Elephas maximus indicus: one gene and its partner. The protein of the gene in region 1 interacts with the protein of each later gene in a biochemical or structural test. Links are inferred from orthologs where the notes say so. Each region holds a gene or a part of one and is shown on either strand. Other genes may lie near its edges.

Region 1 (7,563 bases):
CCCTCCCCCCGCTTCAGTCAGACATTTCAAATAAACCAAAAATAACCACATCTCACCTGCAACATTCAAAACCCATCATTTGATGTATAAAATTTTAACTGTCCCCACTTATTTTAAGACACACACACAAAAAATGGCTGCCTACCAATCTGTCACAAGTTAGAAATACTACATTTAAAAATTAACATGAGGGTTTCAAGTTTCCTCCAGTTTAGGCATTTATACCTTTGTGCTTGTCTTGTTTCAGGATGTTCCTACAGCATTGATATTTGTATAGTCCATGTTCATAGACCTTAAAATGTAATCATTTAAAACATTAAGAATTAAATTTATGATGGAGCTTTGGGAATTTTAAAGGCAACCAAAATATTCTTAGATGCATCTGTCAGCCTAATTTCTACATACTTCCACTAAAGTGAAACTGAACACTTTATACCTTAGTTGCACATTAAATTCAAAAATCCCTTTGCACCATTAGGAGGCTATAATATAGCACCTCTTCCCATCTGCTTTAAGGAAAACGTTTGTCAAGAGTTTTACTGTGAATAGTTCATCTTTTGTAACTTTATGTTTCTCATACATCTTTGGTAAAAGCTCCATTATACAATATGGCCAAAGCGTGAAGGACCAATACCGTCCAACTATACCATGATAACCCACTCAATTTTAGTCTGCAGATACCCTCATTAACAAAACCTTTTCCTGTATACTGCCTTTTCAGTCTTCATTTCTGAAGTTCCCTAAGTTTAATTCCTCGAGGATCTCTAAAATTAATCCTTAAGGCTATATAAGAACCAAATGCTGCTTCACAATTCTCTATCATGCATTATTAACATCTGGTTCAAACTATTATCATAGTGGTCTCAACAACCTAGTTACTGGTCCTAACCAGTTAAGCAAGTAATCTTGTTAGGATCTGAATATCACCAGTGAGCACACTGCTTACCCTTCAAAAGTAAGTTTACATTCATTGTCATCTGTAGGTTCTTTCTCTTCATCCTACTTTCCCTTTGTCATTCCTTAAGTCTACACATCATTTCCTTCCTTAAAGGAGATGGTATATTACTGAACCAACAAGATATGTGACTTACTACTTGCATGAGTTAATTTTACAATTTAACAAAATTATCTTTTTATAAAACATGTTTTCCAGTGTTCTAATTCATGAAGATGTTGATCACTCTTGTGTAAAAAAATGATTTATATGTTCAGCTTAATCAGTTGCTGTAATGTGAAAACAGGAAATGTGTTTTTTTTTAAGTAAAATGTGCATATAATTTGAATTGTTAAATGCTTTATTAACAAACAAAGTATTTTAAATCTACTAGTCTTAGCTGTTCAAAACAAGAAAAAAGTATATTTTCCAGATCTGCCAAAAAGTCACTTAAAGTATCTACAAATACTTCATCTGTGTGTGGCATACACCATTATTGCTCCAATTTCTGGAAAGTCCAAAGTTAAAAAAGGGAAAACACAGCAAAGTTGCTAGCTTTGCAGTGAAAAGATCTGTGTCCGTGACAGGTTACACTTTCAAAGTCTAATGCAGCATAGTTAGCTGTTATGGGGAACTTGGGTTTTATCCCTACTCATGCATGATGTATGTTTCAGAACTTTATAGCTGACGTTTCAAAGAACTTCTTACATTACCTGTTTAACATACTGATGTGCAACTGGAACATATTACAACGATATTACTCATTATTTGCCACTGTGGGCTAGATTTACTATACTGGTCTTAGATATAAAAGGTCACATTCGAAATTACCAAGTTAAAATCAGAACTCATAAGGGAGGGAAAAAGGCCTTAAATATAAAAGACAAACGGCAGTTTGATTAAGCAATAATTTTCAGTTTACTAGATGAAACAGACTTGCAACAGAGTCTGCATGAATGCAAAATAAGCCATCTACAGCAAGTGATAAGGAAACTGAACAAAAAGAAAAAAAGCATACATTGGAAAAAAAGATTCTCTCGAAATAAAAAAATCAAACCATTATTATAAAGGGCTTTACCAAGAATTGCTATATTTCCCCCACCCCATTTACTGGAAGTCAACAAGAGCATCTAGCACTTTTTGTGTTCATGTCAAATGACAGATCAGAGCATCCTAAGGCAAAGCAAAAGGAAAAAAAACAAAAAGAAAACCCTTACGCCACCCCCAACCATAGAACAGTAACTCCAGAGTTCAAATTCAAAAGAAGAGAAAGTGGCAACTGAAAGAGGTGATGGTGGCGATAATCCTATGAATGGGTTTTTGATATCTCTCCTTCCGGGGGAATGGGTGGAGAACACTCATTAGGATTTGTAGTTAGAGGTTAACCATGTGAGCCCCTCATAGAGTCCATCCCCTGAGGTGGCACAGGAGGGCTGCACATACCAGTTCCTGTCCCGAATCCGGGTCAGGCCCAGTTTCTCCTGGATCTCATGGGGTTTCATGGCATCGGGCAGGTCCTGCTTGTTGGCGAAGATGAGGATTATGGCGTCCCTCATCTCCCGATCATTGATAATGCGGTGGAGCTCCTGGCGGGCCTCATCGATGCGGTCGCGGTCGGCGCAGTCTACTACGAAGATCAGACCTTGGGTCCCGGTGTAGTAATGCCGCCAGAGCGGCCGGATCTTGTCCTGGCCGCCCACATCCCATACGTTGAACTTGACGTTTTTGTAAGTCACCGTCTCCACGTTGAAACCCACGGTGGGGATGGTGGTCACCGACTGGCCCAGCTTCAACTTGTACAGGATCGTGGTCTTGCCAGCCGCGTCCAGCCCGAGCATGAGGATCCGCATTTCCTTGTTCCCGAAGATTTTGGATAGCACCTTCCCCATCGCGTCGGAAGAGCCGGGGCCGGGGGCATTCAGGTGTCCCGGGTCCCCTCAGCCAACAACGCCGCCGCCGCCGCCGCGAAAACGAAACGAAGCCTCCCCGCCGCGAGGGCGCCCGTGCGGCCTTCGCTGGGAGTTGCCGCCTAAGGGCAGAGGCCCAGGCCCGCTGCTCACTCGGGCATCCCCAACCGAACACCCTGACTCCTCCTGTCGCCGCCGCTGCCGGGGCCCTGAGTCTGCGCCGGGAGAGCCGCCGCCCTGCTGAGGCGCGGCCCGGCCCGGAACTGCCCTTCCCCCCGCAGGCGCCGCACCAGCGCCGCCGCGGTTCCCGCTCCTCCGCCTTCTCCTCACCCAGCCACGGGAGACTGAGGCTCTCCGGCCGCCCGAGGTCCGTAAGCACCGAGTTCCCCACCGACCCAGGCCACCCGAGAGGCAGTGCGGCTCCGGCGCCTCGTCAGGTCATTGATCCTCGCGGGAACTCGGTTCGCTGCCTGCAGAAACACAGAGAGGAAGAGCGAAGTTACTGCCCGGGCTCCGAAAGGGAGCGGAGTCCGAGAGGCCCGCCTTTCCAGCTCAACCCGGGGGGTTACCTCCAGCCGCCGCCCCGAGCGCGGGCTCGCTCCGGCCTCTACCTCCTCCTCCCAGCTCTGCCGCCGCCACCGCCGGAAAAGGCGCCGAGGAAACCGCCTCACTTCCCCTCCCAACTACGCAGGCGCAGCAGAGGCCGACCGTTCGGACAAGAGCGACCTCTGTAAGAAGAGCGGCCCGCGCGCCTAGCGTCATGGGCGCCACTCGCTGGAGGAGGCGGGGCTACGGTAGCTCGGAGGCCTTGCGGGTGCGGCCCGCCAGAAGGCCCGCGAACCTTGGATTCTGGTCCGCGTCCCCCTGTCACTAGTCTAACTTCTCCTCGTCTCTCCGCTTTTCTCTCCCGCGCTCTGTCCTCCTCACTTCTACCCAAACCAGGGGAGTAAATCCACCTGGACTCCACATAGTGGGGCTCGCGGGGAAACGCTCCCACGACAGAACACCTCCCCCACGCCGCTTCCAGGCCTTTTAGACCTCGGTGCCCGCCAGATGCTCTCCAAGTTCCCTTCATCCCGCCCCAGACTCCGCGCACCCTCCGTCTCCCTGGGAAGCCCTATCCGCTGTTTTTACTTCCTTCCGGGCCTCTCCTTTATCTCTTGTGTTCTGTGTGTTTTCTGAAAGACACGTGGGAGGTCAGTGTTTCATGCAGAAATCTGTCAGTGCTGCACTTTTACCGGGCTACGTTTGCTCTGAAACCATTCTTTTGACTGGTTGAAACTTCTCTCTTACAGATCTCGTCAGGACCAGCCCACGTTTCTTAAAAATTACAGCATTTTGAATTCCCGTACCTTGCCGCGCTTTCAACTTTTTTAGGATGCTGAAAGTTTTTGTATTTAAATGTCTCCTTTATGTGATCAGTAGTGGTTTCTAAGTAAATACTCCCAATCAAGGGGAAAAACGAGTCCTGGTGGCGCAGTGGTTAAGAGCTTGGTAACCAGAAAGTCGGCGGTTGAATCTACCAGCAGTTCCTTGGCAGCCCAATGGGGCAGCTCTGTCTACTCTGTCCTGTAGGGTCGCTCTGAGTAGGAATCAGTGGATCAGTTTGCTTGTTTTAAAGGGAAAAAACCCGGAATATAGTTTTGTTTTTTTAATAAACATGCTGTAATGTAGCATGTGCTAACATTTCAAAATTTAAGAAAATTAATGATGGTAGATAGGTTAAAAACCTTATAAACTTAAGTATGAAATGAGTTTATTAATGTTATTAATATTCTAACAGTGATCTAATTTTCTTAATATTTGTCTTAAGAGGCACTGTAATAAAACGAAGAAGGATGTGGAATCAGAGGATCGGAGTTTGAATGTCACCCCTCCATTTCATAACTATGAATCCTTAAGTCTCAGCTTTTATGAACTGTTTGTTTTCCTGTAAAGTCAGGTTAAGATATTATCCCTAATGAGAATAAAAAATAGCCACCATTTATCGAGTGTACTGTACTAAATACTTCAAATATTGTATTTTATTTTAATACAGCACACGTACGAGGTAGCTTTGAGTATTAACATTTTATATATGAGGAAACTGAGAGTCAGAGAGGTTAAGTAATTTTTTAAAGGTCACAGAACTGAGATTAAATCATGAATCCACAGTCCATGCTCTTAATCCAAAAATTGTGCTATCTCCCTACCTCTGTCACACAGTTGTTTTGAGACTCAGTTACAGTATTTCTTAAGTGCTTTATAAAGTGCCATTAGCCATGGCCATACTTGGGGGAAGAATTTTTTCTTATGAGGCAAATAGTTCCAAGTATTATATTTTGATCCATTTGAACATAATAGTTTTCTCAAAGCAAATTACAGTTTTTACAAATAGGAGATCTGCTGGGCTTGGTATATGTATATACATATATAGATGTATAGTTAAGGAACAGCCTTTATTTTTTAGTGGAGGACATGATGTAACTAAAAACAGAAGCAATGAAGCACTAGCATCTACCTGGCACTGGCACTGTGCTAGAACTAAAAAATTTATTTTTAAAAGTCATTTCCCATTTATATTCTTCAGAATGCAAGCTTCACAGAGACAGGGACTTTGTCTCATTTAGTACAGTGCCCCCGTGACTAGAAGAAAGCATGTAAGTAGTAGCTAAATCTTTATTCAAATGAATTAATGTCTTTTATGATAGGCAAAACAAGACAGGAAAGGCACAGACTACTTTCATGATAAATAATAGGTCAATTGACAAGCTTTTCATATAGTGGCTTATCTTAGATATCTAAAGTGGATCATCATACTAGAAATTATACAGTGAATTATTTTAAGTAATAATGATAACACACAATAAATAATAATAAACCCATTGCCACCTAGTTGATTCTGACTCATAGCGACCCTGTGGGACAGACTAGAACTGCCCCATGTGGTTTCCAAGGAGCAGCTGGTGGATTCAAACTGCCGATCTTTTGGTTAGCAGCCATAGCTCTTAACCACTGGTCCGAAAGTAAATACATCAAAAAAATTGAACATTGTATGTAAAATCATGCCAGTTAAAAAAAAAAAAAAAAACCAAGTGAATTTTAATGAAACCAGAACTTCTGCAAGAGGTAAGTTTTGACAACTACTAAATCATAGCACTGATGTAACCTTTTGTTGATTTCTTCTTTAGTTTTAAAGTTATTACAATTTTAAAAGACTAAATTTCAGTTTTAAACATATTTCCTTTTGGTAAAATATAGATAAACTAAAATCGGCATTTATGGAACAAAATATTATACCTTTCAGTTTGCTTTATTTCACTGTTTTTAAATTTTGAAAACAAAGTTCCAAAAGCTAACTATGGAAAAATTGATCTATGCTTTTATTTCAAAGTCTGTAAATGAAGAGATTCCTCCAGCTTCCTTACAAACCACACTTCCATAGAAAGCCGTATTTCGTAATTTTTAATCTGACATCCACATAAAATATGCTTAAGCTTAAGACATCCTGACTAAAATACCAGCTTATAAGAAAAATATTTACTTTTTAAAAATGGCTTTGCTTTCTGATTTTAAAATGAATAATGACAACAGCAACTAGAAAAGATAGATGAGAAGCTTAGGGGGCAGTGAGTTTGTGTTAATGATGGTGAAATGGTTTGGAAAAGGTTGTTGAGAAAGGTGGCAGAATTTGAAGAATATAATCGATGTCACTGAATTACATGTAAAAATTGTAGAAGTACAGTATGTTGTGTATATTTTCACCAAAATAAATAAATGAATAATTTGTTTTTAAATTCAAGAATGAATCTTCTCTAATAACAGCACCCCTGACTGTTTACCCCTATTTTGGAATTCCTATAGCTCAATCCTTCAGTATTACAATGTGAGGCTTGAAATTTTTCTTCAGTTCTTTCAGCCTGAGAAATGTTGAGCATGTTCTTCTGTTTTGGTTTTCTATCTCCAGGTCTTTGCACATTTCATTATAATACTTTTCTCTAGCTGCCATTTGAAATCTCCTGTTCAGCTCTTTTACTTCATCATTTCTTCCATTCACTTTAGCTACTCTACATTCAAGAGCAAGTTTTAGAGTCTCTTCTGACATCCATTTTGGTCTTTTCTTTCTTTCCCGTCTTTTTAATGACGTTAGGGTCACTGCGAATCAGAACCGACTTGACGGCAATGGGTTTGGTTTTTTGTTTGGTTTGCTTTCTTCATTTATGATGTCCTTGATGTCATGCCACAACTCAGCTGACCTTTGGTCATTAGTCTTCATCAAATTTGTTAGTGAGATGGTCTCTAAATTCAGGTGGGATATACTCAAAGTAGTACTTTGGCTGTCATGGACAGTCTCACAGTAGTCAAGAAATCAACTTATCACATTAGGCAAATCTGCTGCAAATGACCTCCTCAAAGTGTAAAAAGTAAAACGTCACCTTGAAGACTAAGGTGCACCTGACCCAAGCTGAACAATGAATAAGAGGACCAAAGAAGAATTGATGCATTCGAATTAGGGTGTTGGCAAAGAATATTGAATATACCATAGACTGCCAGAACAACGAACAAATCTTTCTTGAAAGAAGTATATCCAGGATCTTCCTTAGACACAAGGATGGCAAGACTTTGTCTCTTGTACTGGAACATGTTATCAGAAGGGATCAGTCCCTGGAGAAGGACGTCATGCTTGGTAAAGTAGAGAGCGAAAAAGACCCTCAACGAGATTGATTGACACAGTGGCTGCAA
Region 2 (7,986 bases), on another chromosome or scaffold:
AGCACATGATGGCTGAAAATGACACCGGAAAAAGAACACACAGATATTTATGAAATGCCCTAGGGAAAGGGTTTTTTTGCTTGTTTTTAAAGCCTGATATTTAATATCAGTCACAAAGTGGGAATTCGGAAGGAGTTGAAGAATGGGATTATCTACAAAAGCGAGGGCTGCGCTTAGGGACGCCACCAAGGAATGATAAAGTACCAGTCCTAGGCTGGAGGGGCTGAAGGCACAAGCACTGCTGAACGGAGGGGCCCACCTCGTAGAAGGATCCAGCTGACCCTCTGCTGCCTGGCAGGGAGGAGCCCAGGAGAAATGGCTTTGTCCTCACTCTCCTCCATCCACCAGGAGCAGAGGGCCAGGGAGCCTGCCGATCACTGTACACAGGCTGAGTCTACCTCGAGAGAGTGACTGGAGAAGGGGGTGGAACTGGAAGAGCAGAAGGAAAGTATCTGCACAATCCCGAAGTCAGAAGACAGGAGGAACCAGGTTTGTCACTACTGGAAAAGGGATGTAGGAACACGAAAAGGGCGCAGGCTAGAAAGAATCCCAAAGTGCCGGACTGGAATCAGAGGGATGCGTGTTTGTAACGGTTGATGATCTATACTGTACTTAGCCAGCTCTACCGCTGGACACGTACCTGTTGTTTCCATTATATCCTATGTGATGACATATAATCACATGTAACGTCGTTTCCATTATATCCTATGTAATGCTGCAGTACACTGTACCTTTGTGCTCTTCTCTGATTGGTTCCTTAGGCTAAATTCCAGAAGCAGACTTATAGGTCAAAAGATATAACCTATTTTAAGACTCATACATGCTATGAAATCAGTTTCTCAAATGTTTCCATTTTCCAGCTGTGTCTGAAAGCACTAGCCTCGCCACGACTTCATCCCCAGTGAGTATTATCATTTAAAACATTTGCCGACTTGATAGTCTCTTAACATTTATGCTGCTGATTACCAGTGATGTCAAAGCTCTTTCGTTGTGTTTATTTGGCGTGGGCATTTGTTCTTCTGTAAATTACTCGTAAGTGTTGCAATACAATCATGTAAATGTCTTAAAAACCCCTGGAAGGGCATCCGTAGGTTGGAACACACGGTGACAGAGGCTTGTCAATCCTCGGCAGGCAGAAACCTGAAAATACTGCAAAACACTTTTAAAGGTTTTGCAAAAAGGTTAAGCAGGAGGGCGGGGCCAAGGTGGCTTACTAGGTAAAAGCTACCTCGGATCCCTGCTGCAACAAAGACTCAGAAAAACAAGTGAATCGATCACATACATGACAATCTACGAACCCTGACCATCAAACACAGATCTAAAGAGTTGACCTGAGTGACAGGGGAGTGAAAAGCTGTGCCCTGAAGCAGCGACCACCTCTGGAACCTGCGTCCCACTCCACAGCCTTGAGCCCTCGCAGTTCCCTGGTGCCGAGTGGTGGGGCTGACTGCAGCTTGCTGAGGCGGGGCAGGCACGGGACACAGCCCTAACCCCTAGCTCCTTGGGGTAACCTCAGTAGAGACTCAGCCAGCACAAGCAGGCTGCACACTGACGCAGCTAACAAGAGAACGAGCAACCACAGGGAAGCAGCGACTGTTTTCAGAGCCTACAGCCAGCATCCCAGTCAGAAACCCTTGGTGCCAGGCTTTGGACCGGGCACAGGGGAGCTAAGCATGGCTTCCTGAGGTGGTGCAAACACGGGACGCAGCCCTAGCCCCCTGAAGTGACCTCGGGGGAAGCCCAGCCAGCGCATGCCAGCAGCGCAACAACGTGGCTGACAAGAGGAGAAGTCACCGGGAGGCGCTGGGCTTTGGACTGGGAGCGGAGGAGCTGACCACAGCTTCTGAGACAGCACAAGCACAGGAAGCCAGTCTGACCCTCGGGGGCAATCTCGACCCTGCCAGCACACATAGGCTACACGCCCCCCGTCCCTCAGGGAATCTCAGATAAAACAGTCATCGCCAAGCAAGATAAGTAACTTTGTCTATATTGCTGGGTGCTACTCTCTCCTATCTATCTGATCCCTACCCTCTCTGCCCCAGGTGGCTTCATTAACATTGGAATTTCCTGGGCCAGGGAGTGAAGTGCTCTGTGGTTTGTTTGTTTGTTTTTTTTTTTTTTTTTTTTGTCTTTTCCTAACCCATTCTCCTGGCCTGAGAGAAGCAGCTATTAAAAACCCAGGGATGAAAAATCCTTCCGTAACTTCCCTAAACTGGAATAAAAATACAGAACCAGTTCCAGCCAAGCATATGAGATCCACAGTCTTTGGCTTTCATCCCTACAGGGAACAAGGTGGCTATTATAATGCAAAGGCAATTCTAATAGAGATCTGACTGTAATTGTTTTAGTGGATCACTGGAAAGACAAGTTTTCCAGGTCTGATATCTCTACCTATTAAACAGAGCCCTCACTGATCCACAACAGGGAACTGAGGGCTGAAGCTCCACCCAAACCACCTAGCCACCTGCCAAAGGGGTCTGAGGATACTGACACCTACCAATCTTTAGAGGTACATGCATTGGGTGCCTAAGGTACAGCTGCAGAGCCCACCCACCAAAGTGCTTTAGGAATAGAGACACACCTACCGCACTGGCATGTGGGGGAAGGCTGTCAGCAACCAGCCCCCCTGGAGTGTGACCCCCTGTTGCTACTAGAATCTGGTGCACACAACTATCACCACTACTCCTCTAAGTTAATAGGTGACAGTCTACACCACACACTTGGTGACCCAAAATCAAAACACCTAAGCTGATTCTATTCAAGAATAGTGAATGGACTCTTAGGCTTACATATCTGGTAACAGCCCAAACCAGCCGGTAATAGAACATAAGCAATTCAAAGGCTACAACAATCAAGACAGTGCAATCTAGTAGCCCATCTGCATATAATGAAAGAAAACAAAATAAGATAAGACTCAGTGAGCAAATATAAATCATTACAATATCTTAGAGATAGCTCAGAGACAGCAGTTGATATCAAACCACATTAAGAAAAAGACCATGACTGCTTCTACAACTCCCCAAATTAAAGAATCAAAATCTTTCCCAAATGAAGATATAATCCTGGAATTGCCAGATGTAGAATATACAAAACTAATATAAAGAATGCTTCAAGACATCAGGGATGACCTCAGAAATGAAATAAGGAAATCTACAGAAAAAGCCAAGGAACACACTGATAAAGCAGTTGAAGAAATCAAAAAGATTATTCAAGAACACGGTAGAAAAACTAATAAGCTGCTAGAATCTATAGAGAGACAGCATTCAGGAATCCAAAAGATTAACAGTAAAATTACAGAATTAGACAACTCAGTAGGAGGTCGGAGGAGCAGAATCGAGCAATTGGAATGCAGAGTGGGGGAGCTGGAGGATAAGGCAATTGACACCAATATAGTTGAAGAAAAATCAGATAAAAGATTTAAAAAAATGAAGAAACCCTCAGAATCATGTGGGACTCTATCAAGAAGAATAACTTGCGTGTGATTGGAGTTCCAGGACAGGGAGGGGTAACAGAAAATACAGAGAGGATAGTTGAAGATCTGTTGGCAGAAAACTTCCCTGACATCATGAAAGACGAAAGGATATCTATCCAAGATGCTCATCGAACCCCATATAAGACTGATCCAAAAAGAAAATAACCAAGACATATTATCATCAAACTTGCCAAAACCAAAGATAAAGAGAAACTTTTAAAAGCAGCCAGGGATAAAAGAAAAGTCTCCTACAAAGAAGAATCAATAAGAATAACTTCAGACTACTCAGCAGAAACCATGCAGTCAAGAAGGCAATGGGATGACATATATAGAGCACTGAAGGAGAAAAACTGCCAGCCAAGGATCATATATCCAGCAAAACTCTCTCTCAAATATGAAGGTGAAATTAAAACATTTACAAATAAACGCAAGCTTTAGAGAATTTACAAAAACCAAACCAAAGCCACAAGAATTACTAAAGGAAATTGTTTGGTCAGAAAATCAATAATATCAGATACCAGCACAAGACAAGGTCACAAAACAGAACATCCTGATATCAACTCAAACAGGGAAATCACAACAACAAATTAAGATTTATTTTAAAAAGAAAAAAATGCTCAAAACAGGGAATCATTGAAGTCACTATGTAAAAGATCACAATAATCAAAAAGAGGGACTAAATACAGGAGGCATAGAGCTGCCATATGGAGAGGAAAACAAGGTGATATAGGACGATACAAGTTAGGTTTTTATTTAGAAAAATAGGGGTAAATATTAAGGTAACCACAAAGAGGTCTAACAATTCCATAAATCAAAATAAAAACCAAGAAAAACATAACAACTCAGCAAACATAAATTCGACTACTATGAAAATGGTGAATACACAACTTACAAAGAAAAACATCTCAGCGCAAAAAAGTGGAAAAATGAAATTGTCAACAACACACACAAAAAGGCATCAAAATGACAGCACTAAACTCATACTTATCTATAATTACGCTGAATGTAAATGGACTAAATGAACGAATAAAGAGACAGAGAGTCTCAGACTGGATAAAGAAACACGATCCGTCTATATGCTGCCTACAAGAGACATACCTTAGACTTAGAGACACAAACGAACTAAAACTCAAAGGATGGAAAAAAATATATCAAGCAAACAACAATCAAAAAAGAGCAGGAGTGGCAATATTAATTTCTGACAAAATAGACTTTAAAGTTAAATCCACCACAAAGGATAAAGAAGGACACTACATAATGATTAAAGGGACAATTGACCAGGAAGATATAACCATATTAAATATCTACACACCCAATGACAGGGCTGCAAGATACATAAAACAAACTTTAACAGAACTGAAAAGTGAGATAGACAACGCCACAATTATAGTAGGAGACTTCAACATACCACTTTCGGAAAAGGATAGGACTTCCAGTAAGAAGCTCAATAGAGACATGGAAGACCTAATTGCTACAATCAACCAACTTGACCTTGTAGACTTATACAGAACGCTCCACCCAACAGCTGCAAAGTATACTTTTTTTTTTCTAGTGCACATGGAACACTCTCTAGAATAGATCACATATTAGGTCATAAAACAAACCGTTGCAGAATGCAAAACATCGAAATATTACAAAGCATCTTCTCAGACCACAAGGCCATAAAAGTGGAAATCAGTAACAGAAAAATCAGGGAAAAGAAATCAAATACTTGGGAACTGAACAATACCCTGCTCAAAAAAGACTGGGTTATAGAAGACACTAAGAAGGGACTAAAGAAATTCGTAGAATGCAACGAGAGTGAAAATACTTCCTATCAAAACCTCTGGGACACAGCAAAAGCAGTGCTCAGAGGTCAATTTATATTGATAAATGCACACATACAAAAAGAAGAAAGAGCCAAAATCAGAGAACTGTCCCTACAACTTGAACAAATAGAAAGCAAGCAACAAAAGAAGCCATCAGGCACCAGAAGAAAACGAATAATAAAAATTAGAGCTGAACTAAATGATTTAGAGAACAGAAAAACAATTGAAAGAATTAACAAAGCCAAAAGCTGGTTCTTCAAAAAAAGTTAACAAAATTGATAAACCATTGGCCAGACTGACTAAAGAAATACAGGAAAGGAAACAAATAACCCAGATAAGAGATGAAATGGGCCATATCACAACAGACTCAACTGAAATTAAAGGAATCATATCAGATTATTATGAAAAACTGTACTCTAACAAATTTGCAAACCTAGAAGAAATCGATGTATTCCTAGAAAAACACTACCTACCTAAACTAACACAATCGGAAGTGGAACAACTAAATAGATCCATAAAAAAAAAAGAGATTGAAAAGGTAATCAAAAAACTCCCAACAAAAAAAAGCCCTGGCCCGGACAGCTTCACTGCAGAGTTCGCAAGGTTGGTTCAATATTAGAAATACTATTAATGTAATCTACCATATAAATAAAACAAACAACAAAAACCACATCATCTTATCAATTGATGCAGAAAAGGCATTTGACAAAGTCCAACACCCATTCATGATAAAAACTCTCAGCAAAATAGAAATTGAAGGAAAATTCCTCAGCATAATAAAGGGCATCTATACAAAAATTTTTTTTTTATACAAAGCCAACAGCCAACATCATTCTTTTATACAAAGCCAACAGCCAACATCATTCTAAATGGAGAGAGCCTGAAAGCATTTTCCTTGAGAACGGGAACCAGACAAGGATGCCCTTTATCACCGCTCTTATTCAACATTGTGCTAGAGGTCCTAGCCAGAGCAATTAGGCTAGACAAAGAAATAAAGGGCATCCGGACTGGCAAGGAAGAAGTAAAATTATCTCTATTTGCAGATGACATGATCTTATACCCAGGAAACCCTAAGGAATCCTCCAGAAAACTACTGAAACTAATAGAAGAGTTTGGCAGAGTTTCAGGTTACAAGATAAACATACAAAAATCACTTGGATTCCTCTATATCAACAAAAAGAACATCGAAGAGGAAATCACCAAATCAATACCATTCACAGTAGCCCCCAAGAAGATAAAATACTTAGGAATAAATCTTACCAAAGATGTAAAAGACCTATACAAAGAAAACTACGAAGTACTACTGCAAGAAACTAAAAGGGACCTACATAAGCAGAAAAACATACCTTGCTCATGGATAGGAAGAGTTAACATAGTAAAAATGTCTATTCTACCAGAAGCCATCTATATATACAATGCACTTCCGATTCAAATTCCAATGACATTTTTTAATGTGATGCAGAAACAAATCACCAACTTCATATGGAAGGGAAAGAAGCCCTGGATAAGTAAAGCATTACTGAAAAAGAAGAAGAAAGTGGGAGGCCTCACTCTACCTGATTTTAGACCATATTATACAGCCACAGCAGTCAAAACAGCCTGGTACTGGTACAACAACAGGCACATAGACCAATGGAACAGAATTGAGAGCCCAGATATAAATCCATCTACATATGAACAGCTGATATTTGACAGAGGCCCAGTGTCAGTTAATTAGGGAAAAGATAGTCTTTTTAACAAATGGTGCTGGCATAACTGGATATCCATTTGCAAAAAAATGAAACAGGACCCATACCTCACACCATGCACAAAAACTAACTCCAAGTGGATCAAAGACCTAAACATAAAGACTAAAACGATAAAGATCATGGAAGAAAAAAATAGGGACAAAGCTAGGAGCCCTAATATAAGGCATAAACAGAATACAAAACATTACTAAAAATGACGAAGAGAAACCAGATAACTGGGAGCTCCTAAAAATCAAACACCTATGCTCATAAAACTCAACCACAAAAAGATAAACAACCCAAATAAAATTGAAAGACAAACAACCCAATTAAAAATTGGGCAAAGGATATGAACACACACTTCACTAAAGAAGATATTCAGGCGGCGAACAGATACATGAGAAAATGCTCTCGATCATTAGCCATTAGAGAAACGCAAATTAAAACTAGGATGAGATTCCATCTCACTCCAACAAGGCTGGCATTAATCCAAAAAACACAAAACAATAAATGTTGAAGAGGCTGTGAAGAGACTAGAACTCTTATACGCTGCTGGTGGGAATGTAAAATGGTACAACCACTTTGGAAATCTGGCGTTTCCTTAAAAAGTTAGAAATAGAACTACCACACAACCCAGAAATCCCACTCCTCGGAATATATCCTAGAGAAATAAGAGCCTTTACACGAACAGATATATGCACACCCATGTTTATTGCAGCACTGTTTACAATAGCAAAAAGATGGAAGCAACCTAGGTGCCCATCAACAGACGAATGGATAAATTATGATCTATTCACAATGGAATACTACACATCGATAAAGAACAGCAATGAATCTGTGAAACATTTCATAACATGGAGCAACCTGGGAGGCATTATGCTGAGTGAAATTAGTCAGAGGCAAAAGGACAAATATTATATAAGACCACTATTAGAAGATCTTGAGAAATTGTTTAAACTGAGAAGAACACATTCTTTTG

What was found. The genes of interacting proteins can lie anywhere in the genome.
Region 2: the proteins of ARF6 (region 1) and CYTH1 form a complex in vitro, tested with the Homo sapiens proteins (2 studies listed by BioGRID and IntAct, with this or other methods). The link is inferred for Elephas maximus indicus from reciprocal best matches to the Homo sapiens genes ARF6 and CYTH1.

What each region holds. Positions count from the first base shown.
Region 1 is NC_064828.1:62,171,543-62,179,105, reverse strand, and holds the start of ARF6 (ADP-ribosylation factor 6), read right to left. Parts: upstream 3,033-7,563; 5' UTR 2,824-3,032; coding exon 2,296-2,823; 3' UTR 1-2,295. UniProt on the Homo sapiens protein: GTP-binding protein involved in protein trafficking that regulates endocytic recycling and cytoskeleton remodeling. GTP-bound form plays an important role in the transport of multiple palmitoylated proteins form the Golgi to the plasma membrane.
Region 2 is NC_064837.1:68,622,816-68,630,801, forward strand, and holds the start of CYTH1 (cytohesin-1), read right to left. Parts: upstream 3,050-7,986; 5' UTR 1-3,049. UniProt on the Homo sapiens protein: Promotes guanine-nucleotide exchange on ARF1, ARF5 and ARF6. Promotes the activation of ARF factors through replacement of GDP with GTP.